Pelodiscus sinensis: one gene and its partners. The protein of the gene in region 1 interacts with the protein of each later gene in a pairwise test. Links are inferred from orthologs where the notes say so. Each region holds a gene or a part of one and is shown in the gene's direction. Other genes may lie near its edges. The genes, in order: DAZAP2, ROR2, ARID5A and UBXN6.

Region 1 (8,523 bases):
ACCTGTGGCCCACCGGAGTTCTGTATAGGGCCCGTAAGACATTTTGTTTCTTGTTGCCTACACGCAGAATTGCAAGATTCCACTTGTTTTCGTACACGTCGGTTTTTCCCCCCTACCCGTATTATTAAAGTCACGCCCACATAAAGCAAGGGCTAGTGACGTGAGGTGGGCGCTGATCACACATAATACTGACTGTGAGAGCCGTGCGCTCCCTCGGCAGCCAATCAAAGTATCACTATGGTTCCATCGGCACATCCCACAAATTCTAGCTACGCGAGCACTGTGAGCAAAACTGCCCCATCACAGGAGACCGTCTTGGTTCTGACAATCTTGCGGCCCACTGACATGAAGGAGGGCCGCTCACGCAGCCCAGTCACTAGCCTCAGTTGCCCATCGTTGCTATAGACAAAACAGTCTGGGAGAAGAGATAAGAACTGACTGAATATTTGATATTGAGAGTCCACCTATCCTGGCAGGTTGCAGTTCTTCAGTATGACTACAGATAGTCCCCGACTTACGAACGAGTTACGTACCAAACACTTGGTCACAACTCAATCTGTTCGTAAGTCGGACTCCATTAATTTAAATGTGACCGTGCTGTTCGTAAGCGCAGATCGCGCATTCGTACCTCGGGTTCCAGCTGTAATGTACTCAATGGGAGGTTGGTCATAAGTACGAACGGTTGTAAGTCGACGCATTCGTAACTCAGGGACCACCTGTATAACAAAACCAAACTGGAGGTCTCTCAGTGGCTGTCTGTCTTTCCAGACCACTCTATCCCTTTCAGAAGTCTTGCAAACCCGCAAGCTTCCCCTCACTTAAAAACTACTTGCTTCCAATATCAGTCATAAAAATCCAAGTACAAGAGCCACACTGTTACTGAAAAATAGCTTCTAATTTTTACCTTCTATTTATACATCAATTGGAACATAATATAAATATTGTACTCGTATTTCAGTCTGTAGTAGATACAGCAGTATAAACAAGTCATTTATGAAATTTTAGTTTGTACAGACTTTTCTGGGGCTTTTTATGCAAATAGGCAAATATCTAGATGAGCTGATGAATCCCCTGGAAGACCTCTACATACCCCCAGTGGTACATGCACCCCTGGTTGCAAGCGACTGCCTTATGAAACAGCTGTAGTTATCTGGGACCATTTGAAAGGAACTGTTCTCTTCTGAATCATTTGATTGTTTATTATTTATATTACAGCTCCCCACTGTGCGAGATGCCATATGGACAAGTTACAAAGAATAAATGTCAGAGGAATAGCCACGTTAGTCTGTACCTGGAAAACATAGTGGGACTGAACTGGCCTTGATAACAGTGGTCCTCCACTTGGAGGCTACGTCTACACTGGCATGAATTTCTGAAAATGCTTTTAACGGAAAACTTTTCCGTTAAAAGCATTTTTGGAAAAGCACGTCTAGATTGGCAGGGTGCTTTTCCACAAAAGCACTTTTTGCAGAAAAGCGTCCGTGGCCAATCTAGACGCGGTTTTCCGCAAAAAAGCCCAGATCGCCTTTTTCGCGATCGGGGCTTTTTTGCGGAAAACAGTACTATGCTGTCTACTCTGGCCCTTTTGCGCAAAAGTCTTTTGGAAAAAGACATTTGCCCAAACGGGAGCAGCATAGTTTTTCCGGAAAAGCACTGATGATTTTACATGAGATCGTCAGTGCTTTTCTGGAAATTCAAGCGGCCAGTGTAGACAGTTGGCAAGTTTTTCCGGAAAAGCAGATGATTTTCCGGAAAAACTTGCCAGTCTAGACACAGCCGTAAAGTAACTCCCCTTTTTATATGCTAGAATTATATATTCCTACCTCTGTGATTACTACTCCCTGCAGCAGACAAATTGGTTTTGACCTATGGAAGCTTATGCCCAAATAAATCGGTTAATCTTTAAGGTACCATAATTCCTTGTTGTTTTTAAAAGAATAAATGAACAAATTCCATCAAATGGACATTTTGACTAGCCACTTGCCTAACCCATGGCTTACATGGGATACTTACTCTCAAAACCACTCTGGATTCCATCGACTGTAAAGCCAGAAAGAAGCATTTTGATAATCCAGTCTGAACTCCTCAGGGCAAAGAACCTTACCCAAGAATTTCTGCATCAGGCTCATTCATTCTGTTTTAGCAATAGCAGATCACTGAGCAAGACATCCAATCTTGACAAAAACGGCAAAGGATGTAGAAACTACCCTGTCTCTACGCGAGTTGTTCCAATAATTAATTATCTTGAATTTGCCCGTGTGAGATCACATGGACGCAAGCTGGTTCCAGCCCTTGGTTCCGCAATCACCTTGTAAAGAAGGGGCATGCACGAGGTGGGGTCACCATTCCTGAGCGAGTCCCATGAGGGTATGAAACAGGAGTCTGGGGAATAGTACAGACACCAACTTCCTGTTTTAACACCAAAGAGGATATGTTTTAAAATAACTAACATATCCTAAAGCTCGGGCCAAAATAACTAATAAAGCATTAGCTGGTGCTAATGAACACAATCCACTGCTTGGTGAAATTTAACTCGCCTTAAGGCTTAATTAAATGTAAAAATATTTGGAGGTTATCAGCTATTTCCATTGATCTTTTATGTATGAACTTAGAAACGCTTGCCTTTTCTATGTCCGATTCAGAAGGGAGAAAAAACAAAAAAGGAAGATTACATGGATCCCCCCCCCCAAGTTAGCTCAACTGACTGTTTACAGCTCTTTGCTACTTGAGAGAGCATTAGTCAGTGAGTCTTGCAACAAGCCTGTATCTAGTGGCTGAGCTACAGTCTATTTTTAAAGTCATCCTGTCTTGAAAGACTTCAAGAGATGGAGAATCTGCCTCCACACAAATCAGACATCAGCAATGGTAACACACAATAACCTGTAGGGGAACATTTTAACCTATCTGGTCACTCAATCATGGATTTAAAAATAGCCATTATTCTACAAAGAAATTGCACCAGCCAATTACAGAGAGACACTGTAGAACTGGAATTCATCTACAAATATGACATTGTTAGCCTGGGCTTGAATAAAAACATGATTAATGCACTAGAAAGCCCATCTCCCCTGCCTTTAACATCCCCATTGTCACATCAAAAGATATAAATGGGACACAGGCAGCCCACTTAATTAGCTTAATTAACCCAGGTCCTACAATTGACCGGTGCTTCTTTTGCTGTTATATATATCTTCGATTCTGTTATTGCCACTCCAGCTCATCTGAGGAAGTGGGTTTCACCCACAAAAAGCTTATGATACTGTATATTTTTCTTAGTCTCTAAGATGCCACAGGACAGCTGTTGCTTTTAAAGTTACAGACTAACACAGCTACCCCGCTGTGACTTCCTTTGGGAAGTTACTCCAATGGTAAATTACCCTGTTTCATGTGTGTGCTTTACTGGTGGCCTGAAGAGGCCCAGTTTCAGTTTCTAGCCAGGGGCGCTCGTTATGCTTTTGTCTGCTTGATTAAAGAGCCCTCTGTTATCAAACATCTACCCGCATGTTGGTGCTCACAGAGGGAGAAGGAAGAGCGTCTGGTCTCCTTGGCTGGAAGGAGAGGTGGCTCCCCCCCCAAACCAATACCTGTCAGGGAAACGCAGCGCAGCCAAAGCAGCCCCCCGCTGCCCCTCCCCTCCAGGCCCGGGACAAGCAGCCCCCCCCGCTCCCCCTCCCCTCCAGGCCCGGGACAAGCAGCCCCCCCCCGCTCCCCCTCCCCTCCAGGCCCGGGACAAGCAGCCCCCCCCCGCTCCCCCTCCCCTCCAGGCCCGGGACAAGCAGCCCCCCCCGCTCCCCCTCCCCTCCAGGCCCGGGACAAGCAGCCCCCCCCCGCTCCCCCTCCCCTCCAGGCCCGGGACAAGCAGCCCCCCCCCGCTCCCCCTCCCCTCCAGGCCCGGGACAAGCAGCCCCCCCCGCTCCCCCTCCCCTCCAGGCCCGGGACAAGCAGCCCCCCCCCGCTCCCCCTCCCCCCCCCAGGCCCGGGACAAGCAGCCCCCCCCGCTCCCCCCTCCCCCAGGCCCGGGACAAGCAGCCCCCCCGCTCCCCCTCCCCCCCAGGCCCGGGACAAGCAGCCCCCCCCGCTCCCCCTCCCCCCCAGGCCCGGGACAAGCAGCCCCCCCCGCTCCCCCTGCCCCCCAGGCCCGGGACAAGCAGCCCCCCCGCTCCCCCTCCCCCCCAGGCCCGGGACAAGCAGCCCCCCCCGCTCTCCCTCCCCTCCAGGCCCGGGACAAGCAGCCCCCCCGCTCCCCCTCCCCCCCAGGCCCGGGACAAGCAGCCCCCCGCTCTCCCTCCCCTCCAGGCCCGGGACAAGCAGCCCCCCCCGCTCTCCCTCCCCTCCAGGCCCGGGACAAGCAGCCCCCCCGCTCCCCCTCCCCCCCAGGCCCGGGACAAGCAGCCCCCCCCGCTCTCCCTCCCCTCCAGGCCCGGGACAAGCAGCCCCCCCCGCTCCCCCTCCCCCCCAGGCCCGGGACAAGCAGCCCCCCCGCTCCCCCTCCCCCCCAGGCCCGGGACAAGCAGCCCCCCCGCTCCCCCTCCCCCCCAGGCCCGGGACAAGCAGCCCCCCCCGCTCTCCCTCCCCTCCAGGCCCGGGACAAGCAGCCCCCCCGCTCCCCCTCCCCCCCAGGCCCGGGACAAGCAGCCCCCCCGCTCTCCCTCCCCTCCAGGCCCGGGACAAGCAGCCCCCCCGCTCCCCCTCCCCCCCCGGCCCGGGACAAGCAGCCCCCCCCGCTCCCCCTCCCCTCCAGGCCCGGGACAAGCAGCCCCCGCTCCCCCTCCCCTCCAGGCCCGGGACAAGCAGCCCCCCCCGCTCCCCCTCCCCTCCAGGCCCGGGACAAGCAGCCCCCCCGCTCCCCCTCCCCCCCAGGCCCGGGACAAGCAGCCCCCCCCGCTCCCCCTCCCCTCCAGGCCCGGGACAAGCAGCCCCCCCCGCTCCCCCTCCCCTCCAGGCCCGGGACAAGCAGCCCCCCCGCTCCCCCTCCCCCCCAGGCCCGGGACAAGCAGCCCCCCCCGCTCCCCCTCCCCTCCAGGCCCGGGACAAGCAGCCCCCCCCCGCTCCCCCTCCCCCCCCGGCCCGGGACAAGCAGCCCCCCCCGCTCCCCCTCCCCTCCAGGCCCGGGACAAGCAGCCCCCCCGCTCCCCCTCCCCCCCCGGCCCGGGACAAGCAGCCCCCCCGCTCCCCCTCCCCCTCCAGGCCCGGGACAAGCAGCCCGCTCCCCAGGTGGGGGCGGGACTCGCCGTTTGGAACGGGGGGGGCGGGGCGAGCATTACGCAACCCCGCTCGCCCGCGTAGGCCACGCCCCCATGACCTCTCCCCTCGCGCCGTGACGTCAGGACGCCGCGCACACGCCGACGTCGGCCGCCCCTCCCCCCACCCGTCGCAGCGCCGCAGTGACAATAACAAGGAAGTGCGCGGAGCGAGCGGAGCCACCGCCCGAGCGAGCCATGAACGGAAAAGGCAAGAGGGGGGGGAGGGGTCAGCCCCGTAGCGAGGGGTCAGCCTTGTGGGGGGGGGGGGGAAGGGGTCAGCCCCGTAGCGAGGGGTCAGCCTTGTGGGGGAGGGGTCAGCCCCGTAGCGAGGGGTCAGCCTTGTGGGGGGGGAGGGGTCAGCCCCATAGGGAGGGGTCAGCCTTGGGGGGGAGGGGTCAGCCCCATAGCAAGGGGTCAGCCTTGTGGGGGGGGAGGGGTCAGCCCCATAGCAAGGGGTCAGCCTTGGGGGGGGAGGGGCGAGGGGTCAGCCCCATAGCAAGGGGTCAGCCTTGGGGGGGGGGAAGGGCGAGGGGTCAGCCCCATAGCAAGGGGTCAGCCTTGGGGGGGGAGGGGCGAGGGGTCAGCCCCATAGCAAGGGGTCAGCCTTGGGGGGGGAAGGGCGAGGGGTCAGCCCCATAGCAGGGGGTCAGCCTTGGGGGGGGAAGGGCGAGGGGTCAGCCCCATAGCAAGGGGTCAGCCTTGGGGGGGGGAAGGGCGAGGGGTCAGCCCCATAGCAAGGGGTCAGCCTCTTGGGGGAGGGGGGGCAGCCTTGTGGGGGGGGAGGGCTCAGCCCTATGGTGAGGGGTTAGCCTCTTGGGGGAGACAGGGGTGGGGTGTGAGGAAGGGGTCTGTGCCGTGGGAGAGGGGTCAGCCCCATGGAATAAGGGGTCAACTTCACAGGGAGGAGGGGAAGGGGTGCGTGGAGGGGTCATCCCTATGGGGGAGGCAGGGGAAGGGGTCACTGCATAGGGGAGGAGTCAGCTCCTTGGGGGCAGTAGTTCTGCAGGTGGGGGTGGGTTTTTGGGGGGAAGGGGGGATGCTTGTAGCAGCGCGTGTAGCTGCAGGAGACTGTTGTCATGGGTCACGATAAGGCAGCTAGAAGGGCACAAGGGAATGGTGGGGCAAGAGGGTGAGGGTGGTGACTCCTTGTTGCCTTGAAGAAACAGGGAGCCCCAGGCATTCTTGGGAGGCTTGTACGTAACAGTTAATGCAGCCGTTCAGTGCGTGAACCTGGATTTGCTGAGAATCCCTAAACTGTGTCACGGGGTCTCTCCCTCGCCTGTTTCCCGTAAGAGAGCTGCTCTGTCTGCAGGATTGCGCTATGCCCCAGCAGCACCTTGGAGAGGGGAGTGATAGTCGTGGAGGAGGCCATCAGGGTAGTGGTGGGGTCTGTGACATTGAGGAGCTGTGCTTGAGGGGTTAATACACATTTGTACAACTCCCGTTGATTGTGTTTATTATTTGCCTTGGGTAGTATGAGCTGCCGGCCTTTCGAGAGGTATTAAGATCTTTTAATCACTTCAGGAATCTTGGTCACTTGCGATCAGCAAAGCTGCTTCTTTTCTCTTAATTTTCCTCGGGGCAGTGGCTCCCTCTAGTTTTGGGTGCTCTCATGTTCATGGCAATGAGCCTCTTATAAAAGCATGACTAGAATTCAAGTTTACCCTGCAAGATCACTGTGTTCCCCTCCACTCCTTTTTTTTGTTCAAGGCTGTGTTTTGAATCTGTACTGATCATAGAAACATTGATATTGGCCTTTGGTTTGGTAGAGCTTTACAAGAACACAGCTTTGACCTGACAGTGACACATGAAAGCATCACCTCCTGGATGGTGACACATTAAAGCAACGCCTCCTTGCTATTGCTGGCTATGTTCAGAGCAGCTGAAAAAACACATAGAAATTATTTATTTTAAACACGATAGTGGCCTGATGAGAGAAACTGACTGTAGAGCCAGCTGCAGTAAGGATTAATAGATCACTTCAGAATTTTACCAAGATGTTAAGCAGGGCTTCTTATTGGCCTTGACTTGAAGAGCAATGCTACCATACAGTTAAAACAAAAAACAGGACTATGTATCACTTTAAAGACTAACAAGATGGTTTATTAGGTGATGAGCTTTCACGGGCCAGACCCACTTCCTCAGATCAAATAGTGGAAGAAAATTGTCACAACCATATATACCAAAGGATACAATTAAAATTGTATCTGGCCCACAAAAGCTCATCACCTAATAAACCATCTTGTTAGTCTTTAAAGTGCTACATAGTCCTGTTTTCTGTTTCAGCTACACCAGACTAACGGCTACATTTCTATCACCCTACAGTTACTTATTCTTGATGCGTTAAGATGCATGCCATTTTAATGCAATGTAATCTTTTGCATAAATTAATAAATGGGTAAGAAAGAATAGTGTGTGTGTGTGTGTGGGGGAGAGCTTGGGTTAGGGAAAAGATCTGCTCTTATTTGGGGGACTATATTTATTTCTTGCTGCAATCTATGATATCCCTTTTGTTCTCTCTCTCTCTCGGTACACAGATTAACCATGTTAAGTTGTAAAACATTAAGTTCATTAACATATGCTCTTTGAAAATAGCACGTGTGACAGCCTATCAAGAACTTCAAATGATAAAGGGTCTAGTATTGTTGATGTCCCAGTAGTTGGCGTAGTTCTGTGGCACAGAGTCAAAACTTTGTGACTTGCAAGTCTGAGCAGAGAAATGCCTAATTCTAAATAGGGTGGTTTGTCAGCAGCTCTGCACATGAAGGTGTTTGTTTTTCATAGTGGCCTAGTTCTTTTAAAGGATTTTAACAGTACAGAAATTAGTTTTTGCTTTTAGTTCCAATCAGACTACGCGTACCGAGTGGACTTTATTTTGTACCTTCCTTCTTGTGCACTCAGCCAATATTTGTACATAACAAGAGGCAATTTCAATGAATCTATCAAGGATCTATAAAGGAGGGGGCTTTCCATCAGCTCATCTTCTGTCCCATTTCCATAATGGCAGCTCCGTTAACGCTGGCCAAATTCTCTTCTGCCTCTTAGGTCAATATCCGACGCAGCCATCCTACCCAGTGCAACCTCCTGGTAATCCTTCTGTGTACCCACAGACCATGCCTCTTCCTCAGGCACCACCATATACCGATGCACCTCCTGCTTACTCTGAGGTATGCCGTATGTCCTGTCTTTATTTGTGCTCCACACCCAAAAAGTAAACTTGGTTACATATGAATTCGTAATACTGGCACTCCCCGTGTTTCAAACATCTGACTTCTGAACA
Region 2 (7,888 bases), on another chromosome or scaffold:
TCAATGTAGTAAGAAGGTCACATCTTTCTGAGTTTTTACTACCACTAGTGGAGTATTCTGCAAATTTCAACATAAAACTAGAGTTTTGTTTTTGTATATGGTGTATGTTTAAAATATATTAGTACATAATACTGCCATTGTATAAAACTACAAGAATAGAACCATTATTTTGGAGGTCATACATGGTTAGTGGGGGAAGGGGCAGGTTGTGTTTAGGCATGAGGGGCCAAATTCATCTCTAGTGAAACTTCCTTGGTTTAGTTGAATTATGAGGCAGGTACTTGCCAGCTGTTTAATGAAAACTGCAAATGAAGTGTTGGGGGTTGATTCAGCAGCCCTGGGGACAGAGAAGCAATTCTTTCCTGTGCAAGTAGTCTCATTGCCCTCAGTGGGACTAATTACATGAGCATAAAGATCAGGCCCCTAACCAGGCATTGATTTATCATTGAAACTTTATGAACTGAAGCACTAGCCACATCAGAGCTCATAAGCCTCCTTAAAACATAGTTAATATGGGATGAGGACTGTGTTCCCTCTAGTTTTTCCATATATGTGGAATAAATGTTATGTGCACTGAGGTATGTACAGACGTGCACCACCACTAGAAACCCATACAGGCTGCAGGAGGCTGTGGATGTGAAGCTAATCAGCTGGTTGGCATTTGAATCTCTCCTGGGTGGCCACCCAAGCGCTCAGCTTCTAGGGAACACTGTATGTGGTTGTCACATGGTAAATTTTTTTATCAGATTCTCAAATTAGTACCAACTAGCCCCAACTACTGCTTTAAACTTCTTCTATCAGGCACATTTTCAAACCATTTGGTCACGCAAATAAATCCATGTGCAGATCTTTCTTCATCAAATAGCAAGAGAACAGTTTGGGACCATATGCTAAAAACACAAGTGAACTCTCTAATGCTTTAAATTAGTAGGGTGAGCAAACCCAGAAGAAATGTGCAATTGTCTACCATTTTGTGCTTGCTGCACATATTTCTTGCTACACAGAGAAGGAATTTATATTGTGGTTTCTAATGTTTTGGCTCTGCCAATTGATTCTCCCTGAATATGAAGCATGCTTATAAGCGGAATATTATGATACCATGTCTTTGGAATCAAAGAAACCTAGTTGTAGATGCCTATGAAAGAGATCCAAGTGCGTGTTGCATTAACTGGCCAAATTTTACTATGTGAAATGGGAATATTTCATTTTAAGTTTCCATCAGAAATTGATCAATCACTAAATTCAGACTTATTTGGATCCAGGATCTTGTTTCAGGTCCATATTGTAATTACTTTTAGGATGCTGAGGTCCTCAGATGAAAGGCACCGAATTAAATGCAAAGTATTGTTTACTTATGTTATTATTTTATTATTAGGGGAACATGTTCAAAAACCAGTTATACATTCAAAACATTGTGATTTGCTCCTTCACAGTGTATATAAAAAAGAAAGCTCATAAGCATACAATTTAGGGGATTTAAGTGTTATTATAGGCCTTCGGTTGACTGGTTTAACTTATACTGATTTTAAAAATGATTTAGTTAAACCAGTGCAACCTCCTATGTGAACATTCTTAGTTTAAAAGTGGCTTAGTTTAAACTGAATCTTAGTAAATTTAAATTAAACCAAAATAATCCTAGTTTAAACTGAAATAAGAGTGTCTACATAGTATTTTGTACTGGTTTAATAAAACACATTTTTTAGGTAAACTGGTACAATTTTCTTTAGCGGTAGATCAAGAATCTTATGTATTTTCCCCATTGACTGTTTCTTGATAAATTCAGTAACTGTATTATCTATAATTGTTGTCTACAGTACAGAAACTGTAACTAATTCTATAAATTGTAATCTTGGGTGAAGGGAGGAGATTGGCACGTTTGTGGAAAAATCAACTTCTCCTGCAGTAAAACCCAGGGGAAGAGGTTCTATGTAAATAACTCTCAGCTAGGATGCAGTTAGGAAATTTTCCTACATTGTTTTGTCTAACAGTCTTTGAATCAGATTGTGATCTAATTTACACCAGAGTGACTTGATTGGCTTCAGAATCTGTCTCCATGTTACAAGCAAGATGAGCTTTAGTGCAAGACCTGCAGGGGAACAGGAAAAGAAGAAGGTTGCTGCACAATTCTGAATTTTAGAATCTTTTAAGTAACTGAAAGGATAGTTACTTCAACTATATTTTAATTATTTATTTTTGCATGGAAAAGAAAATATTTTTACAATGGAACTTAGTGGACAGTTTTGTTAAGAACACAGGAAACCTTATTCTCCCATGACTGTATTATTTCTACATTACAAAGTAAACAGGAGCAAAAAGTAGTAAAATCTTATTCTCGTTCTGTTGGAAACCCACACCCAGCAAAGGGTGCTTGCTAGTGCATACAAACAAGCAAAGTACAATTCACTAATTAGAAAGTATCTATGTGTAGTTACTTTTCCTGTCCAAGGTGTATAGCCTGACAACATAATATACATTTTAATAATACATGTATTAATTATTAAATAGTTAAATATTATTTAATCAAAATTGTTGTAATAATAATTACATTAAAATAAGATTTTTTTTATAAGAAATATACATTTTCAGAGTAGGCTAGAGAATCTGGATACATATCTTCTTTTTGATTAATGGAAATTACATAAATTACTTTGAAAATCTCAAGAATGATTTTTTTTTATCTTGACAGGGTCCCTTAAATTGTCTCGGCCATATGGGCTGCATAGGTTACCTTTGATGGTAAAAGTTTCCTGAGAATTGCTGGAGGTGGCAACTGAATGAATGTAGTCTTGCCATTACTGGGCCCAATTCAGGAAAGCATCCCTATTCAGAAAAGTGCCTAGCTGCTTTCCTGAAACAAAGCCTCTTTACTTAATGATGATATAGTGTTAGCATTAACCAAACAGTGATCAGAGAGGAAACTATGACTAGTCCAGCCTCATTCCTTTTTCATGATGAGGTGCCACAGAAATTTTGGACCTAGAAATCTTAGAGGCAAAAAACAGGTCAGAAAGATACAAAGAACTGTGTTGATGTGCTTGTCTTTTTTATGGTAAGCAGAAAATTTGGGGCACAATAATATTTTTTGAGAGAAATGTACAGTAATTCCTCATTTAACACTATAGATATGTTTCAGAAAATGATCATGTTAAGTGAAAATGTGTTATGTGGGGTCAATTTTCCCATTGAAAATAATGGAAAAGGTAGGGGTTGCATTTCAAGCGGTGGTGTCTGTTGGGCCCGGGACATAAGGTTGGGGGAGAAAGGGGACTGGGTTACAGCAGGGAGGAAAGATGTTTGGCTCTGGGAAAGGGAAGAGGAGGAGAGGGGAGGGGGATTGGGTTGGGAGTATGTTCTGTTACGGGTCTGCTGGGACCCGCACTGCGTCCGGCGAGGGGGGGGGGGTTGCTGGGGAATGGCATGGCGAGCGGCGAACTCGCTGCTGCTTTGCAGGGAGGCGGGGGAAGCCCCGTGCAGCCGCCGGCAACGGGCTGGCTGGGGAAATTGTGTTATTCCGGGGACGATCGTGTAATTCAAAAAACGTTCTCTAAAAAAGAATCGTGCTATCACAAAAACAGATTAAGCAGCTATGTGTTAAATGAGGAATTACTGTACACTCAGGTTAGAGTTGCCTGTGCTCAGCACTATTAAGCATTAGGCCTTTACGCACAATGCCCATAACAAAGAACAATAATACTGTATTTGTAAGACCTTATATATTTATAGCCTCATAACTGAGACTTCATCACATTTACTTGATTTATTTAAGTAATATCTAGAAATGCTATTTCAGTTGCAAATAATATACCAGGCCTCTACAGTTTATATCACTGAATGAACAAGTTACTCCTTTGCTTTGTACATTACCATTAGGGAATGACTAATATTCAAAGGTCTCCTTGTGCATATGAAATAAAGAAATTTGAGAAAGCAAGAAAACAGTTTAACTAGTGCTCCTGGTATTTATCAGTGACTAATTCTTTACTGTTAACGTGTCTTGCAGCTCTAAGGGAACAAACAGAAATAGTTCCCTGTCCTTAAGGGGTAAAATGAGAAGGTTTACTTTTAACATTACAAATAAAGAGTATCCACTGTGCTTTCAAGGCAGGATCACATTCTCGGTGCGCTCTCGTCTTATCGTGTGTGTTATACAGCTAACGAGGCTGGACATTTCGTTGGAAAGAGTTATGGCTTGTGATCACTTGACACTGCACGGAAGTGAAAAGGCTGCTCTCTCTGCTGCGGGGGAAAAGAGGGGCAATGCCCATCAAGCGGTGTAGTGTTTCTTCCTTCTCGGGGGTTTTTTCTTTCCAAATACTTCTTCGGTATCTCGAAGAATGCTGGAGCTGTTCTCTGCGGGACTCGCTTGTGGCACGGCCTGAACGTGCCTGGTGCCCCGAAACGACCGTCCACTCCAGTCATCCTTGCATCGCAGCCTCTTTTCTCGAGTACCCCTTGAGTCAGCTCCTCCCGCAGAGGCTCTTGTCACCTGAAAGGGGAGTCCCTGCAAATGCAGACTCCTGGCTAGATCGCTGCAGAGCCAGCTAGGCCTGCACCTGATCCAGCCGGCCCAGGCAGCACTAAGCAGGAAAAAGCCCCAGCCGAGAGCCTCGTCTTCCCTCCAAGCTGGCACACGGCGCCCGAAGCCCGGCTCTCCTCCACCCTCCTGGCATTTGCTGGCTTGCCAGCAGAGGGGGTAGCAGCGCAGGGCTTTTCCTCGCCCTCTGCGCCTCGCCGCGCGCGAGCCCCGGGCTTTGCACGCCCCCTGCCCTGCGCGAGGGAGTGAGAGGAGAGATTTCCCCCAGTGACGCTGCGATGCCGGGGGAGGAGGCGGCGGCGCCGAGGCGGGCCCCTGGCTCAGTGCGGGACGGCCCGTTACAGTGAGCGCTGGCTGGGGGGAGCTGCGGAGCGCTGCAGAGAGGAGGTGAAAGCCCGGCCCGGCCCGGACGCAGCCCGCGCTGTCAGCGGGCGCCGCGTGGAAAAGCCCTGGGCGCGGGGCAGCGGCCGCACCACAAAGGGCTCTTTGTGCGCCGCCCGCCTCCCTCCCTCCTTCCCTCCCGAGCGAAGCCGACGCGGAGGGAGCCCCGCGGGCAGCATGGTCCGCACCGGGGCGGCCCGGGGGGCGCGAGCGCAGCGGCGGGACGCGGCGAGCTCCCTGCTCGCCCTGCTGGCGGCTTCCTCGCTCCTGCCCCTCTGTGCAGCAGGTAAGGGGGCTCTGGCGCCACCTTCGTGCTCCCCACTCCCGGGCGCGGGTTGGGCACGAGCGTTATTCGCTGGCTGGCGGGATGCTACTGGGCGGACGTGGGGTGCAGGGTAGCTGTGCAAAGCGCCCCCCGCCGGGGCTGGCGGAGCCCGCTCGGTTGTTTTGTGCGTATTGAAAGATCGGGGGTGGTTGTCGTGGGGGGCGCACTGGAAGCCCGTGGAGGCAGGGGCACTGCCGGGTTTTTTTGGAGGGAGGGGGAAGTTGATGAGAAATCAGCTTTTTGAAGCTTCTCTTCCCGCGATCCATCACCGCCCGTCTCTTCCTCACCCACCAGCTGCTCCTGCAGCTGAGCCGCATCATGTATATGGCCGCAGTGGGTGCCCCGCAGGAAGTTTGTTTGGTTTTGGATGACGGGGGTGGAGGGAGGCGGCAAAGGACGGGGAAGAGTTGTTGCAGTCAGAAGCCCTGATAGGGAGCCCAGGGTAGACCCCCCCCCCCCCCCGCCCCGAGTGGCTATAATAATGTGTTATTACTTGGGCTGTTGAGTTGCCAGCGTCTCGGTGGGGGTGGGGATTAAGGTTGAGTGCGGGGCGGGGGGCGGAGGGCAGCGATGCTTGGCGTTGATGGAGGCTTAATTGAGTCTCCTTCTGTGTGTGTGTTTTTGGAGGGTCCCATTTCCTGTGCGTACCTGGCTGAGCCGCAGAGAGCCGAGGGGGCAGCCCGGGGGAATCGGGAAACGACCGGACTCGGTTCACCGAGCCCTGCGATTGTTTGGAGAGCTGAATAAACTGGCCCTATTAACATCTGACCTCGCGCCGTGGTGGACTGGCTGCGGCTGCTGAAACGCGGCCAGTGTGCCCGGCATCTCCCTTGGCCCACGCCGCCGGGGTTTATAGAGCGCTCTGGGGTCAGAGTTACAGTGCCTGGAAAAGACGCTGCAGCCTTGCGCTGTTTGTTCCCTGCCCGCTCCCGCTCAGCTCAGCTTCGGGGCCCTCCCCTTGAAACAACCGGGAGAGGTTTGGCTTTTCCCTTCCCCTGGGAGGCTGTGGCGTGGGCAGGGGAGCAGGAGCCTCGGGGGTCAGCCCGACACACTTTGATCTCGCTCAAACCCACTCGCTGGAAAATGGACCCCTGCAGCTGATTTTTTTGTTGTTTTGCCTAGCGATCCTGGGGAGATGACGCTCGTCAATTGCACGTCAGGTTTGTAACCGGCCTGGCCCGAGTCAGTTTTGCGACGGGACTTGGTTGGCCGATGACTAGTGAATCTTCTACTCTTTTTAGGAGGCTTTCCCTGCATTGCAGCGGCGTGCACGAGGGACCCGATGGTGTTTTTAAGGAACAACAGTGATGCTGCAGATTAGAGGGGACTTGTTAATCAGTTGCCTGTTTGAAAGGGGTTTTTCTTCCCTTTGTTGGTTTCGCTAATCCATTTACCTCTCCCCGGGAGGTGACAGATGCCTATATTTCCTGTTAGTCAGCTCTGGGGTCTTCGGTCGTGCCATTTGCTGAATTAGCCATGGGGGGGGGGGAGGAGGGCAAGAAAGCTGGAGGGTTTGGGGGGAGGCGGTAAGGTAAGAGGAGAGCGTGTTACATCTCTGGGATCAGTGCCCATTGCCTTTCTTTTCTTGGGGCTTTTATTGCTCCCTTTGAAGGCCCAGGGGGCAGCGCTAACAAATTGCAGCGCCCTGCACTGCTGCCCTGGCTTTCCTGCAGGGAGCTGCAGCCACGGACTCGGTGTATGGGGCAGTAGTTTCACAAGCCCCTAGAGTGCGGAGTGTTAGAAGGTGGCAGATGTTCCCTAGGTGCCCGCCTTTAAAAGCTTCTGCTGTGGAGATGGCGAGCCCTAGGTGTATGGTGTCGTTCCAGCGAGATACCATCCCCCCAGCTCCACCATTTTCTTCTTGTTTCTCAAAGCAGCTGGATCTGTTTTTAGGGGCCAATATGACGGGTGTGCAGGATTTCCAGAGTTTTCTCTACAAGACAGTACACCTACCACCCTCCCTTCCCTTTCGACAAAGTGTCACTAGGCAAAGTCCTAAGGTGCCTCACTTGCTTAATATGATTTTGGTGAGATGATTTCTGCCCTCTTGTAAAACGCTTGAGGTCTTTGACAGTGAAATAGCAAATAAATCACAAAATACTCCAAACATTTGGTTGCCTGTTCACCAAGTCTGCATATTCATTGATTATCTTGCATTCCCGTTTCACTCCTTCCCTTCAAGTGCTGGCAGAAGAACCCACCTCCTCCCCTGCAGATGTCTTTGATGGGTGATCCCTTAAGGATTATTCCCAGGATGTAGTCACATAACGTTTGCTAGTGACACAGCTATGCATAATTGACTGCAAAAACAAAGACAGACAAACAGTCTCAGATGTAAGTTCTCTGCATCTCCTGTGACTAGCAGTTGTCTCTACTGGGAGTTAGTACTGGAATGTCTTTTTTGTGGGGACAAAAAACAATGAGACAAAATATACTAAGGAATCCCTGTAAAATGATATAAACTATGCATACACAGTCTTAATTTTGTTCTGAGATTGTAATGCAATACTAGTTTTCAGAGAGGTAGCTGTGTTAGTTTGTTTCAGCAAAAACAACAAGGAGTTGGGTGGCACTTTAAAGACTAACACATTTATTAGGGTATTGGAGCATAAGATTTCGTGAGCTACAACTCTCTTCCTCAGATGCTG
Region 3 (7,577 bases), on another chromosome or scaffold:
CAAAACCAACATCTTTGCCATCTATATCTCAGACAATCTCAATTCAAGGCCTACACTATTCAGAGCAAGTTCATCCATTTCTAACAGTTAACTTACATTATCCCACTCTTACCCCACATCCTTTTCTCAGACAGTGATCTCTGCTAATTCAGTTTTACATCTCACTGCTTTATGAAGCCAAACTGAACTCTCCACAATTATATTTTTTGAGTCACTATGACTCTGGACTATATACATAGCCACAAGAACTATTTATAACACGAGGTGATATTTTACTGAAAGTGCCTTCTGTGCCAATCAGAGCTAGAGATTCAGTAATTTTCTAGCTTGCAACCCCACATGGCTAAATGGTTAACTCTATGTGGCCACATATCCAGTCCTGGGCTTTTCTAGGGTCTGGACTTCACTCATCCTCTTTCTCTGTCTAAATGTAGTGCCCAATCCCACAAAGTACTGGCTGCCTTAAAACCCAGTAATAACAATAGCAATTAAGGTCACACAGCAGGACTGAATTAATAATAAATGGTGGATCCATATAATAAATTGCAGAACCATTATGCTCAGGTGCACTGCCTCACATGAATAATGTGGCCAATCTCAGTCCAACAAAACCTACATCCCACATTACTTATGATATACTATTTAGGTCATCTAGGGACCAGATGTAGAGTAGCATTGAGCTGACACCTCTCCTATAAGCATCATTGGGAGCTTCAAGTGTGTAGCACCACCGAAAATCACACCCCATCTCTTTGGCTCTGTTGCTGTTTCTTGTTCTGTATCTATCTTATCATTTATCTGGGGGATTATTGTAGGAAAGTTTCTTGGAAGGGGTTATTTGAACCAAGAGAAGGAAGTCATAAAAAGCACAAATTACTCACTGTTCCTTATACCACAGCCCTTCCTGTACTGCCCCCTCTCTCTGATCAGTTACAACAATATGTAGTAGAATATTTTTCCAGCCTCCTCCTCCTCTCCTGTGTGCTATTGCACTAAGAGGAGTACAACTCCAGTTTCCTGTTTTTTTCACAGTAATAATCAAAAGAAAGGAAATAACACAACCCTTAAGCTTTTTTCAATAACAGTAACATGACACTAAACAAAATGTGTGAGACATTACAATCATAGCTGGAATGTCCCCAGTCCCCCACCCCGCTTTACCCCTTATCAAAACCTCTTCCAGTTTATTCCTGATTGTGACCCTTCCCTTCACCAGCCTCCACACTTCAAACCTGTGGCTGGCATAAGCAAAGCAGCAATCCCTCTTAGTAGAGACTCAGTTTATACTGGCAAAAAAAAACATCTTGGTGGCATAGTGTATACCAGTTACCTAAGCAAAACATGCTTCAATGCTATAAAACACTTTTTGCCAGTGTAACTGACTATACTAGAGCTTTTGATGGCACAGCAATGTCATGAAAACCCAAATAGTTCTACTGGCAAAACTTTGAAATGGACTAGCCTCTCACCTAGCTACATCATTATGGCTTAGATTTTTTGTATTCTTCAATGCTTTTTTTTTTTTTTTTTTTTTTTTTTTACTGCAGCTACTAGCATTTGAAGGCAATAAGGCCTCTCTGGTGAATTAGTATATTCTTTCAAAATAGAAATTATGGAAGTAATTCAAGATTACTGCAAAACTCCAAAACATTATAGGGTATTTTTGCAATGCTATATCACAGGCTCCAGCAATAAGACCCTCTAGCCCAGGGGTCGGCAACTTTTTCAAACCAAAGAGACAAACTACCTCAAAATTCAGAACTAGTGGTCAACAAAGAGCTGTATAAGAATGCCCATTTTCATGACTGAAAATATACAACTTAATATTATTGATAATTGACATGATGATTAATAACAAATGAAATATTGTACTCCGACTTTTATTTAATGGGACTTCTGCTGCTGCATCTTTTCGCACGTTTCTTTGAAGTTTACATCATCACTGGTGAAATTCAGGGTCATGCATAATTCAAGTTACATGAATAATTATGTGTTCTTAAAATTTTGAATTAATTTTTTATTTTAATTTTAAAAGTTGCATGTATTTTGGGAATGAGAGAAGAGCCATATTTGGTTACATACCGAGCCATATTTGGCTTGAGAGGCATAGGTTGCAGACCCCTGTCCTAGCCCCTCCACTGGCTGTGCCATTTGGCTTAATGGATCTTTTCAACAATTCAGTTTGTCTCCATCCACTGAACCCTTACTTTAAATCTTCCAGTTTTTCAGGGCTAAGTGCTCCTCACTAGTTGCCATTTGAGTGTATAATTCAAAAGCTGGCATTAAATCCCATTCCCCACTGCTGTATATCACTATTTTTATTTTAAATAAAGTCATCTCCACAAGGTATCAGAAGCCAGAGAGAAAAGATCAAATTTATTTACAGAATGTAACACTACCAATGGGCTAGACACACATGGACACAGAAAATGGAGACAGGCTTGAATAGCAACTACCAATGAATATTTGAACCAATATTTCAGAATGGACAGAAATATCAAGCTAAAATAATGCTACATTTTAAACATAGCCATGTCTCAAGGGGATAAACTGAAGGAACTCATTGAAGTCGGTGCACCGGCACTTGTATTGACTTCACTTGTATTGGGCTTTAAAGGAACAGTTCTAAAAAGCCTCTGGTTTTGTAACTGTCTTTAAAACTAGAAATACTGTCCACAGTCTCAACTACTAGCCATGCTCTGGTAGGGACAACTGAGTTTTTGTACTCAGCTCTTCCCTTCAGGCACTGAGTGAGGCTGGGATTTCATTTCTCCAACTAAAGCCACATATTAGCTGGCTTCCGCTTTCTACTACAGATACATCAGGCATATATCCCTGGCTAGTAGGTATGCCGTCAAGGTAACAGTGTCCAGCATGTCCCCACGAAATCGCACAGGTCAGTTTCTCTTTCTCTGAAGTGCGGAACACAGAAGTGCATCTTAGGAGCAGTGTGCTCGGGCTCCCCCCTTGCCTGCGCCTGGTTCACACGCACGTGCCCGGGTTAGCCAGCGCTCCCTTCCCGGACGCGGCTCACGCGTGTGTGCGGGGTGCCTGGCTCACACAGGGGTGCGGGCTCGTCTCTTCCCGGCATCTGGGTCATAGTTGTGTGCGGGTCAGCCCCCCCCCGCACCCGGCTCCCCCCCGGGTCAGCCCGCCGGCCCCCCCCCGCACCCGGCTCCCCCCCGGGTCAGCCCGCCGGCCCCCCCCCGCACCCGGCTCCCCCCCAGGGTCAGCCCGCCGGCCCCCCCCGCACCCGGCTCCCCCCCGGGTCAGCCCGCCGGCCCCCCCCCGCACCCGGCTCCCCCCCGGGTCAGCCCGCCGGCCTCCCCTCCCCGCACCCGGCTCCCCCCCGGGTCAGCCCGCCGGCCTCCCCTCCCCGCACCCGGCTCCCCCCCGGGTCAGCCCGCCGCCCCCCCCCCCGCACCCGGCTCCCCCCCGGGTCAGCCCGCCGCCCCCCCCCCCGCACCCGGCTCCCCCCCGGGTCAGCCCGCCGCCCCCCCCCCCCGCACCCGGCTCCCCCCCGGGTCAGCCCGCCGCCCCCCCCCCCGCACCCGGCTCCCCCCCGGGTCAGCCCGCCGGCCCCCCCCCGCACCCGGCTCCCCCCCGGGTCAGCCCGCCGGCCCCCCCCCGCACCCGGCTCCCCCCCGGGTCAGCCCGCCGCCCCCCCCCCCCGCTCCCGGTTCCCCCCCGGGTCAGCCCGCCGCCCCCCCCCCGCTCCCGGTTCCCCCCCGGGTCAGCCCGCCGCCCCCCCCCGCTCCCGGCTCCCCCCCGGGTCAGCCCGCCGGCTCCCCCCCCCGCACCCGGCTCCCCCAGGGTCAGCCCGCCGGCTCCCCCCCCCGCACCCGGCTCCCCCCCGGGTCAGCCCGCCGGCCCCCCCCCCGCACCCGGCTCCCCCCCGGGTCAGCCCGCCGGCTCCCCCCCCGCACCCGGCTCCCCCCCGGGTCAGCCCGCCGGCCCCCCCCCCGCACCCGGCTCCCCCCCGGGTCAGCCCGCCGGCCCCCCCCCCGCACCCGGCTCCCCCCCGGGTCAGCCCGCCGGCCCCCCCCCGCACCCGGCTCCCCCCCGGGTCAGCCCGCCGGCTCCCCCCCCCGCACCCGGCTCCCCCCCGGGTCAGCCCGCCGGCCCCCCCCCGCACCCGGCTCCCCCCCGGGTCAGCCCGCCGGCTCCCCCCCCCGCACCCGGCTCCCCCCCGGGTCAGCCCGTTCGCCTCCGGGAGTGGCCTGGGCCCGGCCGGCGCGGGAGGGGGGGAGCGGGGCAGCCCCGCAGCTGGCCCGGCCGGGGTCCTGCTCCCTCAGGCGTGGGGGGAGGGGCGAGCCGCGCGCAGCGGGCGGGCGATCGGCGGGAAGGGAGGGGGGGCGGCTCTCTCGCGAACTACAAATCCCAAGGGCCCGCGCGGCGCGGGGCGGGCGCGCTGAACTGACGGCGCCCTTGTCCAATCAGCCGCTGAGCGCCGCCCAATGGGCGCGCGGGGCGGGGCGGGGACAGAGTTGCTGCTTCTCAGCCCGGACACTCCGGAGTCTCGCATGGGCCGGGCGGCGGCGCGGGGGCCGGGCGGGCGCTGAGGCCGCGGCGCTGCGGGCGATGGGTAAGAACCAGCCTTGCCTGGGCTGGGTCGGCAGCGCGTCCCCAGCCGGGAAGCGCGGGGAGGAGGGGAGTTGGGGGGGAGTTGGACTGAGGGGGGGGAGTTGGGGACTGGGGCTGGCGGGGGGGGGAGTTGGACTGAGGGGGGGGAGTTGGGGACTGGGGCTGGCGGGGGGGGAGTTGGGGGGCCGGGGCTGGCGGGGGGGGAGTTGGACTGAGGGGGGGGGAGTTGGGGACTGGGGCTGGCGGGGGGGGGGAGTTGGACTGAGGGGGGGGAGTTGGGGACTGGGGCTGGCGGGGGGGGGAGTTGGACTGAGGGGGGGGAGTTGGGGACTGGGGCTGGCGGGGGGGGGAGTTGGACTGAGGGGGGGGAGTTGGGGACTGGGGCTGGCGGGGGGGGGGAGTTGGACTGAGGGGGGGGAGTTGGGGACTGGGGCGGGCGGGGGGGGAGTTGGACTGAGGGGGGGGAGTTGGGGGGACGGGGGCTGGCGGGGGGGGGAGTTGGACTGAGGGGGGGGGAGTTGGGGGGACGGGGGCTGGCGGGGGGGGAGTTGGACTGAGGGGGGGGGAGTTGGGGGGACGGGGGCTGGCGGGGGGGGAGTTGGACTGAGGGGGGGGAGTTGGGGGGACGGGGGCTGGCGGGGGGGGGAGTTGGACTGAGGGGGGGGGGAGTTGGGGATGGGGGCTGGCGGGGGGGAGTTGGACTGAGGTGGGGGGGAGTTGGGGACGGGGTCTGGCAGTGGGGGGATGGGGCTGGGAGCAGGGGAGAGGGTTGGGGTGAGGTGGGAGGCCAGGACTGGCAGCAGGGGAGTGGGTTGGGGGTAGGGGGAGGAGTTGGAGTGGGAAATGGGGCTGGCAGCAGGAGGCGGGTGCCGTGCCCCATTTGAGGACAGGGAAGTCAGCTTTGGATTCTGGTTACGGTCAAACCTCCGGCGCACTCCCGAGCCCCTGTCCTGCAGCTGGGTTTGGGCTCAGAGAGAGCAGGGGTGCACTTGCTCCCTAGCAGCCCCTTGGAGATGGGAGCCGCAGCTGCCCAGCCCGGTTCGCAGGCTGGTCCCAGAGCCCGGCCGTTAGGCTGCAGATTCTTCAGAAGCAATGAGGAGGGAGGGGGAGTTTTTTCCTTGTCTCAAAAGTTTCTAGCTGCAAGGGGCTTCCCAGTAATTTTTATCTCAAAATGCACTTTTCTTTCTAGTTGGTAAATTTCAGTGCTGTGTTGGGTTCTGGCTTCCCACTTCCTGTTGTGGTTTGTAATCTTTAGCTGTTCTCAGCTAATTTGTTGTGACAGCTGTCAGCAACAGCTTTTTTTTTTCTTTGGTTCCCAGAAGAATCTGGCTGTTTTTCCCCTTCCCCGTCATGGCCTCCAAAGGGTTAAGCTGAGGTATTGTACAGTGTGTACGCAGAATTCTGGTTCCATTGTACGCTGTCATTTCCCGAAAGTGGCTTACTCTTGTGCTTTGAAGATGCTAACGGCCCCTCCTTCCAAGTCAAGAAATGGTTTGACCTTTTCAAGAACACTTTTCAGCTACTACAGCCATGTAGAAGAATGAAACTATTCCCATTTGCCCCATGCTCACGCAAGCACATACATACACACACGTACCAGGGTAGTGTGAACAAGATAAATGTTTAGTAGTGGGGGCAGGGGGAGGGGAGAAGTGACTCTGGAAATTGCAGTTTACTGCTGAGAAGTACAAACATCTACTCTCAGTAGATTTTTCCAAAATACCAGAGGACCTGGCTGTTCCAGATTAGGTTGGAGCTGTTTTTCCTTGGATATTTAGTAAATTGCATTTGTCCACAGTGCATTCTCCTGTTTTCTATGCATTGGAATATGTATGAGATTGAGCATCCCCCTCTCCTCTTAAGTAAGGTTTAGATGAGCTCATGGGTCATTGTCCTCTCTCATTTCTGATTTGTTAGCAAGGTTGGGTGGCCTTTGTTTTAAGATTTTCTTTTTGTGGCAGGGTAATCTCTAGGGTGAAGCCTGGAGAGCAGACTTTTATTTCTTGCTCTGGCCTTGGGTGACTCCTTGCCTCATTCTGTGCCTCAGTTTCCCCACATGTAAAATGGTGTTTTTGGTACTGCTCCATTTTATATGATATGTCGACATCAATCCACTAATGATAGCAGAATAAAGAACTGAGTTGAAGCAGCATGCCCTGCTCTCCTCTCTGGACTGGTGAGAAGAGGGTGATTGGAGCCCCAAATTGTGCAGAAGGGCAGCCCCAAAACAGGCACTTTGCCATACCAGTAAAACTGCAAAGCAAGGCCCAGCATGCAGCTGCCTTGGAAAAAAACAGGTGCTTTGCAGTGCTGCAACCCAGATAAGATGCATCCCAACTGGCATGAAACAAAGAACAGTGTAATTACTGTATCTTCTGGAAAGGGGGAAGGGAGGCAACAACTGCTGAGGTCTGCCTTGGAAGAATGAAGCGGGAGCTGCAAAACTCTGCAGAGCAGAGAGGCAGATTCCTACATGTGGTGTGAGCCAAGCTGTGTTCTCACTCCACCACATGCAACCCCCACAAACCTTGGTCCATCCAGTATAACTGTTAGGAAAACTCTAATTAATGGCATTTTGCTTGCTTTGTAATTAACAAACGCCTGCACTTGTCTCCTTTGTTTGTTGGGAGTTGTGCTCTTGTGTCAGTGAGTGTTCAGGTGTCTGTCCCTTTGTCTCCCTGCCTGTTCTCTGTGCCATGCTGATGAGCTGAGGCAGTTTGGAGGGGACAGACTCTTAGCCTTCCTTCCTCCCCCACAGTGGCTCCTGCCATAAGCCGGGTAAAAGACTCAAGCTGTTCTCTGCTGTTTCCCAAAGTTGTCATCATGTCCAGTAATCCTCTCAGAAGCCGGGCTTGTCTTGGCTGCCTTGCGTGGTGATCTCATGCCCAGAGAACATTAAACCGGCCAGTTTTCTCTCCCCTTTGTACAGTATGTGAAAGCGTTTTATGAGCTCGCTGACCCCGTGGGGCTGAGAATGACACACAGCAAACACG
Region 4 (7,589 bases), about 21 Mb from region 1:
GCAAGCGCCGCGCGCCCGGGGCTGGCGCTCTCCCTCCCCCCCGCAAGCGCCACGCGCCCGGGGCTGGGGCCGGCGCCCCCCCCCTCCAAGCGCCACGTGCCTGGGGCCAGGGCCGGCACTCCCCCTTCCCCCCGCAAGCGCCGCGCACCATGTGCCCGGGGCCAGGCCAGCCCCGAGCACCTGGCGGGCGCATGCAAGTGCCCCTGCGGGCACCATGGCGCCCACGGGCACCGTGTTGGGGACCACGGCATTACGGTAACAATGTTCCATAAATATGATACTAATAACAATAGTTAATACTTAAAGTGAAACAAAACAAAAAGCTAGTGAATCGAAACACAGGATCTACAAGCGTTACAACACTGTCAATAAGCCGCTACAAAACTTAATTATAGAAATTAATCACACCGCTCAAAATAATCATTTTGGCAAGGTTTGGATTTGAATATTCCTCTGCCATGTCTGCAACCCAAATATAATGGCATCGGACTAATACATGAGAACCAGAAAGTGAAACTAAGTAATTTATTTTCCAAGCACAAGCTGAATAGAGTGAAAAAAAAGCATTTGTAAACTATTTTAAATATTGATTGGGACAGATTCTGGCACTCAGGGCTTGTCTTCACATATGGTGCTACAGCAGCATGACGGCACCAGTGAGGCATGCAGAGCCCGTGCTGTCCACTGGATGGTTTGGGGAGGTTGCCCCAGGTCTCATGCTTTGGGGGCCTCCGGTTTAGGAGGACTCAGGCCCAGCAGCAGACAAACTCAGCACTTCTATCATTCAGGCCTTGTAGAGATGCTTTCCTGAATCAGGGTCTGTGGGCTGAATCTTGCACCTATTGAAATTGTTGAAAGGTTTCAGTTGACTTCAGTGGAAAGTAGCGTAAGGGTCTGAGCACACAAGCTGCGGAGCAGAAGCAGAGGCAGGAAGAGCTGGAATCGGGGCAAGCCTGGGGTGGGGGTTGCCCTAGGCTCCACACTCCCTTGGGATGGCCCTACTGCCATGCCACTGTAGCACTTGAATGAAGATGGCCCTAAGCCAACAGGAATGTTTCTCATGTCAGCTCCTGTGGCTTTTTCCACATTCTTGACAGACTTAGTTATAGTGATAATAGGGCTATATAGTGTAGATGTGGCCTTAGTGACAACACAACTTTCAAAGGGAAGTTACAATAATGTAACCAAGACTGAATTTGTCCTTTCCAGTTTTAATATACCCAGATAATGGCATTAAAATGCCTATAAGGGAATTTCCTTCTTTTACAGGTTCTGCACAGTTATACTGATATAAACTCAGAGTTACTCCACTGAAGCCAGTTAAGTTTATATTAATGGAACCAAGAGTAGAATCTAGTCCTATCTGTTTTGTACTTAACAGTTTCCTTTTAATTACGAAGTACAGTAGTAGAACATGTCTTTGTAAATCTGTCTTTCATTGTGTAATGCTGCAAAAGGAATAGAAAGCACTGACAGAAATTGGGCCTTGTCTACACACAAAGTTGCACTAGTTTATTTAAAGGTATATTTTTAAATCTATTTAGTTTAAACCAGTGTGAAATTTTTAAAACTAGTTTGTTCTGCTTTAGCTAAGGTTGATGCCAAGTTGATTTAAGATAAATTGATGCAGGTCAGGATTAAGCAGCTTCAAGAAGATCCACGCAGAAGTTTGCACTAATTTAACTAAATTGATTTTAAAACTAATTTTAGTTAAACTGGTGTGATTTTTACATGAAGCTCTTAGAAACAGCAAGCCAAATTAAATAGCCATATGAAAGCTGTTGAAAGTTGACATGAGGTGTCAACAAAAACAAGCATGTGTGTGTATGACTTAAGTCATATCTAAATTAGCATTTATGACCATAAAATGTTTGTCATTCCGATTTGTGAAAAAAACAGGACCTTAAGTGACATAAGTTTTGCCATAGGTACCAAATTCTCTTCTAGCTGAGGGGGGAATGATCTTCTACTCCAGTGGTCCCCAACGTGGTGCCCGCAGGTGCCATGGCGCCCGCTGGGCCATTTCTGTGTGCCCGCTGAGTGATCAGGGCCGGCCCTGCCCCCGGGCGTGTGGCACATGGGCGGTGCTGGCCCCTGGGCATGCAGCATATGGGCATCCCCGCCCCCGGGTGCACGGCGCAAGGGCTGTGCCGCCCCTAGGTGCGCAGCGTATGGGTGTCCCCGCCCCTGGGCGTCCCCGCCTCTGGGCATGCAGCACAGGAGCGGCGCTGGCCCCGGGTGCGTGGCATATGGGCAGCCCCAGCCCTGGGCATGCAACACAGGAGCAGCACTGGCCCCAGTGCCCGTCAGCCCCAAAAGGTTGGGGACCACTATCTACTCTACCCCTACCCTTCCTTTTCCCCAAGGCACTGCCTCCTCTCCTCTTGCAACCCTCCCCCTGCTCTACTCTCTCTCATTTGGTCCCCTCCTTCAAGTGCATCCCATCCCTGTTCCTTCCCCTTCCTCTCAGCGCCTCCTGCATGCTGGGAAACAGTGGGTGAGAGGTGTTTGGAGGGAGGGGGGCACTTGATCAGTGGGGCAGCCAGCAAGCAAGAGGCTTGGGGGAAGGGGAAGGCAGAGGAGAGATGAGAAGGGAGTTTGGCGGTGGGTGCTGAGCACCTGTTAATTTTTCTACAGCCCTGGTGGACCCATGGAGTCAGTGTGTATGAGTCTTGCTGGCACAAGTGCTAATGTGCTCAATGCTGTGTTGGTGGGAGGGGTTCTAAGCTGTGCCAAAGCTTGTAAGTGCATCTACAGCCTTCAGTGACAACTTGTCTAAACTAGCTGAATGTGGCAGTGAGGAGCATGGATTTACACAATGAAAACATCCACACCCTTGACTTAAAATATATTTACATAGCAATGCCCTCCCTGAGAAAGGATGAGTGAAAGAAAACCTCAGATGTTAATCATGTTGCTTAATGCATGACTGGAAGGCACTGAAATACTGAGGTGATGGGGGGGAAGAGTGAATCAAGAACCTGCATAAAGTAGACTAGAATAGCATCTAAAAGCAAGTTAGGAGCTTTGCAGAGCAAATTAAATGACAAAGGACCCTGTTCAGATGTTACCTGATGATCTAGGGTCCTGACCCTGCAATCATATGGTGAGTGAATGTGTGTTACAGATTCTCCTGTGCTGAGGATATAAGCTGCTTATAGCCTCTGGCTACAGTCTTGGCTCTTTACTTCAAGTTGTGGCAGCTTGTGCTTTTAGCTCTGGATGTTCCTGGTAGGCCAGCTAAGATGGTCATTGAGACACATGAGTAACTTTAGTGCCATTGTGCGAACAATGCTAATGAGGCTGCTCATGTGAGTAAAGGTTGCTGTAATAATGGGACAGCAGGGGGAACCAGGAGAAAAGGTGAAGAGAGCTGGGTGTGAAAGTAGGGGGTAGACAGTGGTGGGGGAGGGCTGTAGGTAGGCAAAGGGTTGTGGGGGTACATGGTGTGGGGAGCTGAGTGCCAAAAGGGGGCAGTGGGTGCCAGTGTGAAGGCAGGAGAAGCACAATGTATGAAGGCTTGGGTTTGGGGGGCTGGGGTCAGGGGGAATGCAGTGTGGTGCTGGGGGTAGGTTGGTCATGAGTATGCCCTCCCATTCCTTAAGGCCGTGGCTCTCAGCCTTACCCTTTGCAAATCTTAGCTGAGGCTGCAGACCCCCCTCGGTCTGCGGAACCCTGGCTGAAAATCGCTGCTGTAAGGGACCATTCCTGGTCACCGTTCCCTTCTTTTAAGATGCACTGAAATATATTAAATAAGAAGAAGTCTTTGAGTTTTAGGCAGGAAGGTTGAAGCCTGTGAGCATTGCACTGTATCCAGGAGGGGACCAGAAATGGACATGGCTGAAATAGACGGCAGGCTACACCAAGAGGGGGTTCCCCGAAATGCCCCTTCAAACGCAGCAGTGTCCCTCACCTGTCCTGTCCCTGTATCCCCCCCCCCCAAGCTGGTCACCCCAGCTGGGGGCAAAGGCTGGGCACGTGTGGCGCTAAGGTTGGGGGAAGGGTCGGGGGCCTGGTATAGGAAGAAGGGGGGGACACACATGTGGGGCTGGGGGGAGGGGTGGGAGGGAAGGAATGGGGGAGGGGATAGGAAGAGCAATGGGGGGGAGAGGCACGTGCGGCGCTGAGGCTGGGGGGAGGGGTGGGGGAGGGGCAGGGCCAGTGCTCGAGGTAAAGCGAGGTCAGACCCGCCGCTGGCGCTTGGCGGACCTCACGCACCATAGAGAGGCGGGGGGGAGGCCTAGAGCGCCCCTGCCGGGCTCGTCACACAAGGAGGCGCGTGAGGTGCCTGAAGGGCGCAGGCGCCAGGCTCTGGCCCCGCCCCCCGCCGCTTCCCGCCCGTTCCAAGAGGCCGATGGCCGCTCGGTAAGTCACGTGCCCGCAGCGGGAGGCGGGGCTTCCTGTTTCCGGTGGCTGAGAGGAAGGGGGCTCCGCAGGTGTTTTGTTGTGCGGGGCCGGCCCGTCTCTCCCCGCCCCCCTCCCCCCCCGCGCCGCCGCCATCATGCGGAAATTCTTCCAGGACATCAAAGCGGACATGAAATTCAAAACCGCGGGGCCGGGCCAAAAGCTGGCGGAGCAGCCCAGGTAGTGGGGGAGGGGCGGCTGGGGGGGGAGGAGTGAGGGGGGGAGCGTTGGGTGGGTGGTGGGGGGGAGGAGTGAGGGGGGGGAGCGTTGGGTGGGTGGTGGGGGGGGAGGAGTGAGGGGGGGGAGCGTTGGGTGGGTGGTGGGGGGGGAGGAGTGGGGGGGGAGCGTTGGGTGGGTGGTGGGGGGAGGTGCCTGCTCCACTGTGAGTTGGGCTGGGTGATGCTGTTGGTGGCAACGAGGGATCCAGCCCCAGGACTCCCATCTCCTCCGTGGTGCTTCTCCGCTTCTGGATCCCAAACCGCCTTTCTGCCATTAACCCCTGCCCAAGGCTGCGGTCGAGTAACAGAGTCTGTGGCGTGGGGCCTGGGCTGCACGGGGGGGACACGTGAGACGGGTTCGGGTCCCAGCTCCCTGCTGGCTGGTCTGTTCCTCCTGGGACCTGGGTTCAGATCCCAGCTGCCTGGGCTGGACCCTCTTCTCATCTCCCCTCCGCCCGAGTTCGGTTCTCTTAGCCCCCAAACCGCTTACGCTGTTGGCTCTTCTCATTCCTGAGGTTGTTTTTTTTTTTTTTTCAGACGACCCCTCCCCCCGCCCCGGCTGTTCCCTTCTCCCCGCTTCCCCATCTCTTATCCCCCCACTCCACTTCTTCAGACTCAAGTTCAGATCTCTGCTCCTTCCCCACTTGTGCTGTTCCTTTCTCTCCCAGCTTCTCTCCCCCACACCCAGGTTCGGCACCCACATTTACTTCCACCCAGGTTGTATCCTGGTGACTCTAAACTATCCGACCCTTTGTGGTATCCTGTTTAACCAGTTAACCAATTCAGTGGATTTTTCTGTAATCTGCATCCCCAGTCTTCATCCCCTTTTCCCAATTGACTGTGCATGGCTAGCCAAGTACAAAAGCAGTTTCTCCTCTCTTGGTCTTCACACCTCCACATCAGCTGCTAGAAGTGGGCCTCATCCTTTCTGACTGAATTTACCTCTTTCTCTCTAGCCTTACTCTTGATTGGTACTCTTTTCTTATGCCTGTATATTTATACCTGCCTCTGGAATTTCTACTACATGCATCTGACGAAAGCCCATGAAAGCTTTTGCTCCAATAAATCTGTTAGTCTGTAAGGTGCCATAGGACTCCTCATTGCTTTCCCAGGAGCTTCCTTGGTTCCCTCTTGCTCTACTCCTCCAAAATGTGTCAAGCTCTGGGATCCTCTGCGCTAGGCGCTGCAGACCAGGCCTACTGTAGGTTTGGAGGACTGAGGACTTTTGCAGTAGGGTACAGCATACACCACCAGAGGAACAACTTTATTTTCCTTGTATCACTTTTAGCTTTAGACTCAAAAACACACTTCCACTAAATAGAAAAAAAAATACTGTAGCTCTGAAGAAGTGTTTACCTGATTCAGGTATCTGAGTCAGAGCTCCTGACTCTTTTGGCACAAACAGGCTTTTACTCCTGTTTGCTGTACCAGCTCCTGCCAAGCCAAGAGCTGATTGTTCCCTGAAGCTGCACTGGGTCCACATCTGACCACAGAATTGCTATTCTTGTGGCTGATTTTCAGATACCAAAGTAAGTTTGGGGAAATGATGCTAATCGAAAAATCATTTGACTTGTAAAGGAACAGGATTGGAGGCAGTTAAGACAAATACAGAACCTCACCATGTTGTGGGATAGTCACCTTCCTGAATATCATTGTCCTGCAGCTGTTTATGAAATATGGCAGCTGAGTGAACGTAGAATAACCATACTGGGAATTAAAATCACAAGGGTGTGTGGTGTTGACTGTTTTAAGGCCTAATATGTTGAGAACAATCAAAGATGAAAAGGATTGCTTTGTATTATATAAATTCTTGGAATCCCAAACTCCACTGGTTCAGGTGACAGTGGCTGGTAAAATTTCCTTGAAGACAAACCCCTTGCCTGTAGAAAGCAAAGGTGCAATCAGAATGAAGCAGTTTATAGGCTTACTGTCACAAGGTCTGTCTGGGCTACAAAACAATATTGATGAACTAGGTCATGTTTTCAGGTTCAGTAAATGTTTCAAAATAAGTTTAAGACATTAGGCCAATACATGGATTAGTAATGGTGAAAGTGCATCTAGACTGGAATTTAACTGTTCGGTGACCTGACCTAGTCAGTGTTGCACTATGTATTCTCACTTTCTATATTATTTGTTTAGTTTCTATGTGAATTTCATATGCTTGATCTCAGCCCTGCTGCACTATTCAAATACACACTCAAAGAAGGCCAGAGTCCCCAGTTCCATCCTAAATCCTGAAGGAAACTGCTAAAACATTAGTTTAATAACAGAACTTTTCAATAACAATATTTCTTAAAAGTTGCAAGAGATTTGTAGTTGAGATCATCTATTGAATCCAATTTTCTGTGGCTTTCAGGGACAATGAAAGTTGTGATTGGTCCTGTCTTGGGCAGGGGGCTGGACTTGAAGACCTCCTGAGGTCTCTTCCAGCTCTATGATCCTATGAATCCAGTTGTATTTATTGCTCCAAACTTTGGGCGCACAGGCTTGACAAACTGCTTCACGGTCACTGAGCAGTAATGCTACCTAGCAAGGGCATCAGGTTTTTTTGTGACCTTATAAAGCTATGATGTCACTGAGCATCTACAGTTGCTTCCCGATCAAGCCTGTTCTTGGTGCTGTTCTGTGTAGTGCTCTTTGAAATTATACTCTGGTGAGGGTGGATGTTTTGCAGAGCAGCTGGAAACATTAAATTCTGTTTTCTGCTAGCAGCACACATTCTCCATTCCTAAATGTATCCATGTTTTGTAGTGGGTGCAGTCTTCAGGACTTTCCTGCTTGCATGTTGCGTATAAGCCTTTGATACACAACGGCCTTCTTGTTCTTATGGAGGAAGAGTATCTTGGAAAAATGGGTCCATCTCTCAGGGTATGCCTACACAGCAGGGCTAAAGTTGAATTAAGCTACACTACTTCAGCTACGTCAGTTGGAGCTACATCATAGAGGTTGAGAATGGTGTCCCTAGCT

Evidence for each region.
Region 2: the proteins of DAZAP2 (region 1) and ROR2 interact in binary tests that used the Homo sapiens proteins (3 or more experiments, as listed by UniProt). The two-hybrid records come from large-scale screens. The link is inferred for Pelodiscus sinensis from reciprocal best matches to the Homo sapiens genes DAZAP2 and ROR2.
Region 3: the proteins of DAZAP2 (region 1) and ARID5A interact in binary tests that used the Homo sapiens proteins (3 or more experiments, as listed by UniProt). The two-hybrid records come from large-scale screens. The link is inferred for Pelodiscus sinensis from reciprocal best matches to the Homo sapiens genes DAZAP2 and ARID5A.
Region 4: the proteins of DAZAP2 (region 1) and UBXN6 interact in binary tests that used the Homo sapiens proteins (3 or more experiments, as listed by UniProt). The link is inferred for Pelodiscus sinensis from reciprocal best matches to the Homo sapiens genes DAZAP2 and UBXN6.

Annotation. Positions count from the first base shown.
Region 1 is NC_134729.1:2,041,608-2,050,130, reverse strand, and holds the start of DAZAP2 (DAZ-associated protein 2), read left to right. Parts: upstream 1-5,325; 5' UTR 5,326-5,438; coding exon 5,439-5,451; intron 5,452-8,288; coding exon 8,289-8,410; intron 8,411-8,523. UniProt on the Homo sapiens protein: In unstressed cells, promotes SIAH1-mediated polyubiquitination and degradation of the serine/threonine-protein kinase HIPK2, probably by acting as a loading factor that potentiates complex formation between HIPK2 and ubiquitin ligase SIAH1.
Region 2 is NC_134716.1:49,024,859-49,032,746, reverse strand, and holds the start of ROR2 (tyrosine-protein kinase transmembrane receptor ROR2), read left to right. Parts: upstream 1-4,752; 5' UTR 4,753-5,092; coding exon 5,093-5,201; intron 5,202-5,867; exon of another isoform or gene 5,868-6,375; coding exon of another isoform or gene 6,376-6,400; intron 6,401-7,410; exon of another isoform or gene 7,411-7,540; intron 7,541-7,888. UniProt on the Homo sapiens protein: Tyrosine-protein kinase receptor which may be involved in the early formation of the chondrocytes. It seems to be required for cartilage and growth plate development. Phosphorylates YWHAB, leading to induction of osteogenesis and bone formation.
Region 3 is NC_134738.1:5,954,163-5,961,739, reverse strand, and holds the start of ARID5A (AT-rich interactive domain-containing protein 5A), read left to right. Parts: upstream 1-4,427; 5' UTR 4,428-4,581; coding exon 4,582-4,585; intron 4,586-5,437; exon of another isoform or gene 5,438-7,577. UniProt on the Homo sapiens protein: DNA-binding protein that may regulate transcription and act as a repressor by binding to AT-rich stretches in the promoter region of target genes.
Region 4 is NC_134729.1:22,546,212-22,553,800, reverse strand, and holds the start of UBXN6 (UBX domain-containing protein 6), read left to right. Parts: upstream 1-4,426; 5' UTR 4,427-4,501; coding exon 4,502-4,584; intron 4,585-7,589. UniProt on the Homo sapiens protein: May negatively regulate the ATPase activity of VCP, an ATP-driven segregase that associates with different cofactors to control a wide variety of cellular processes.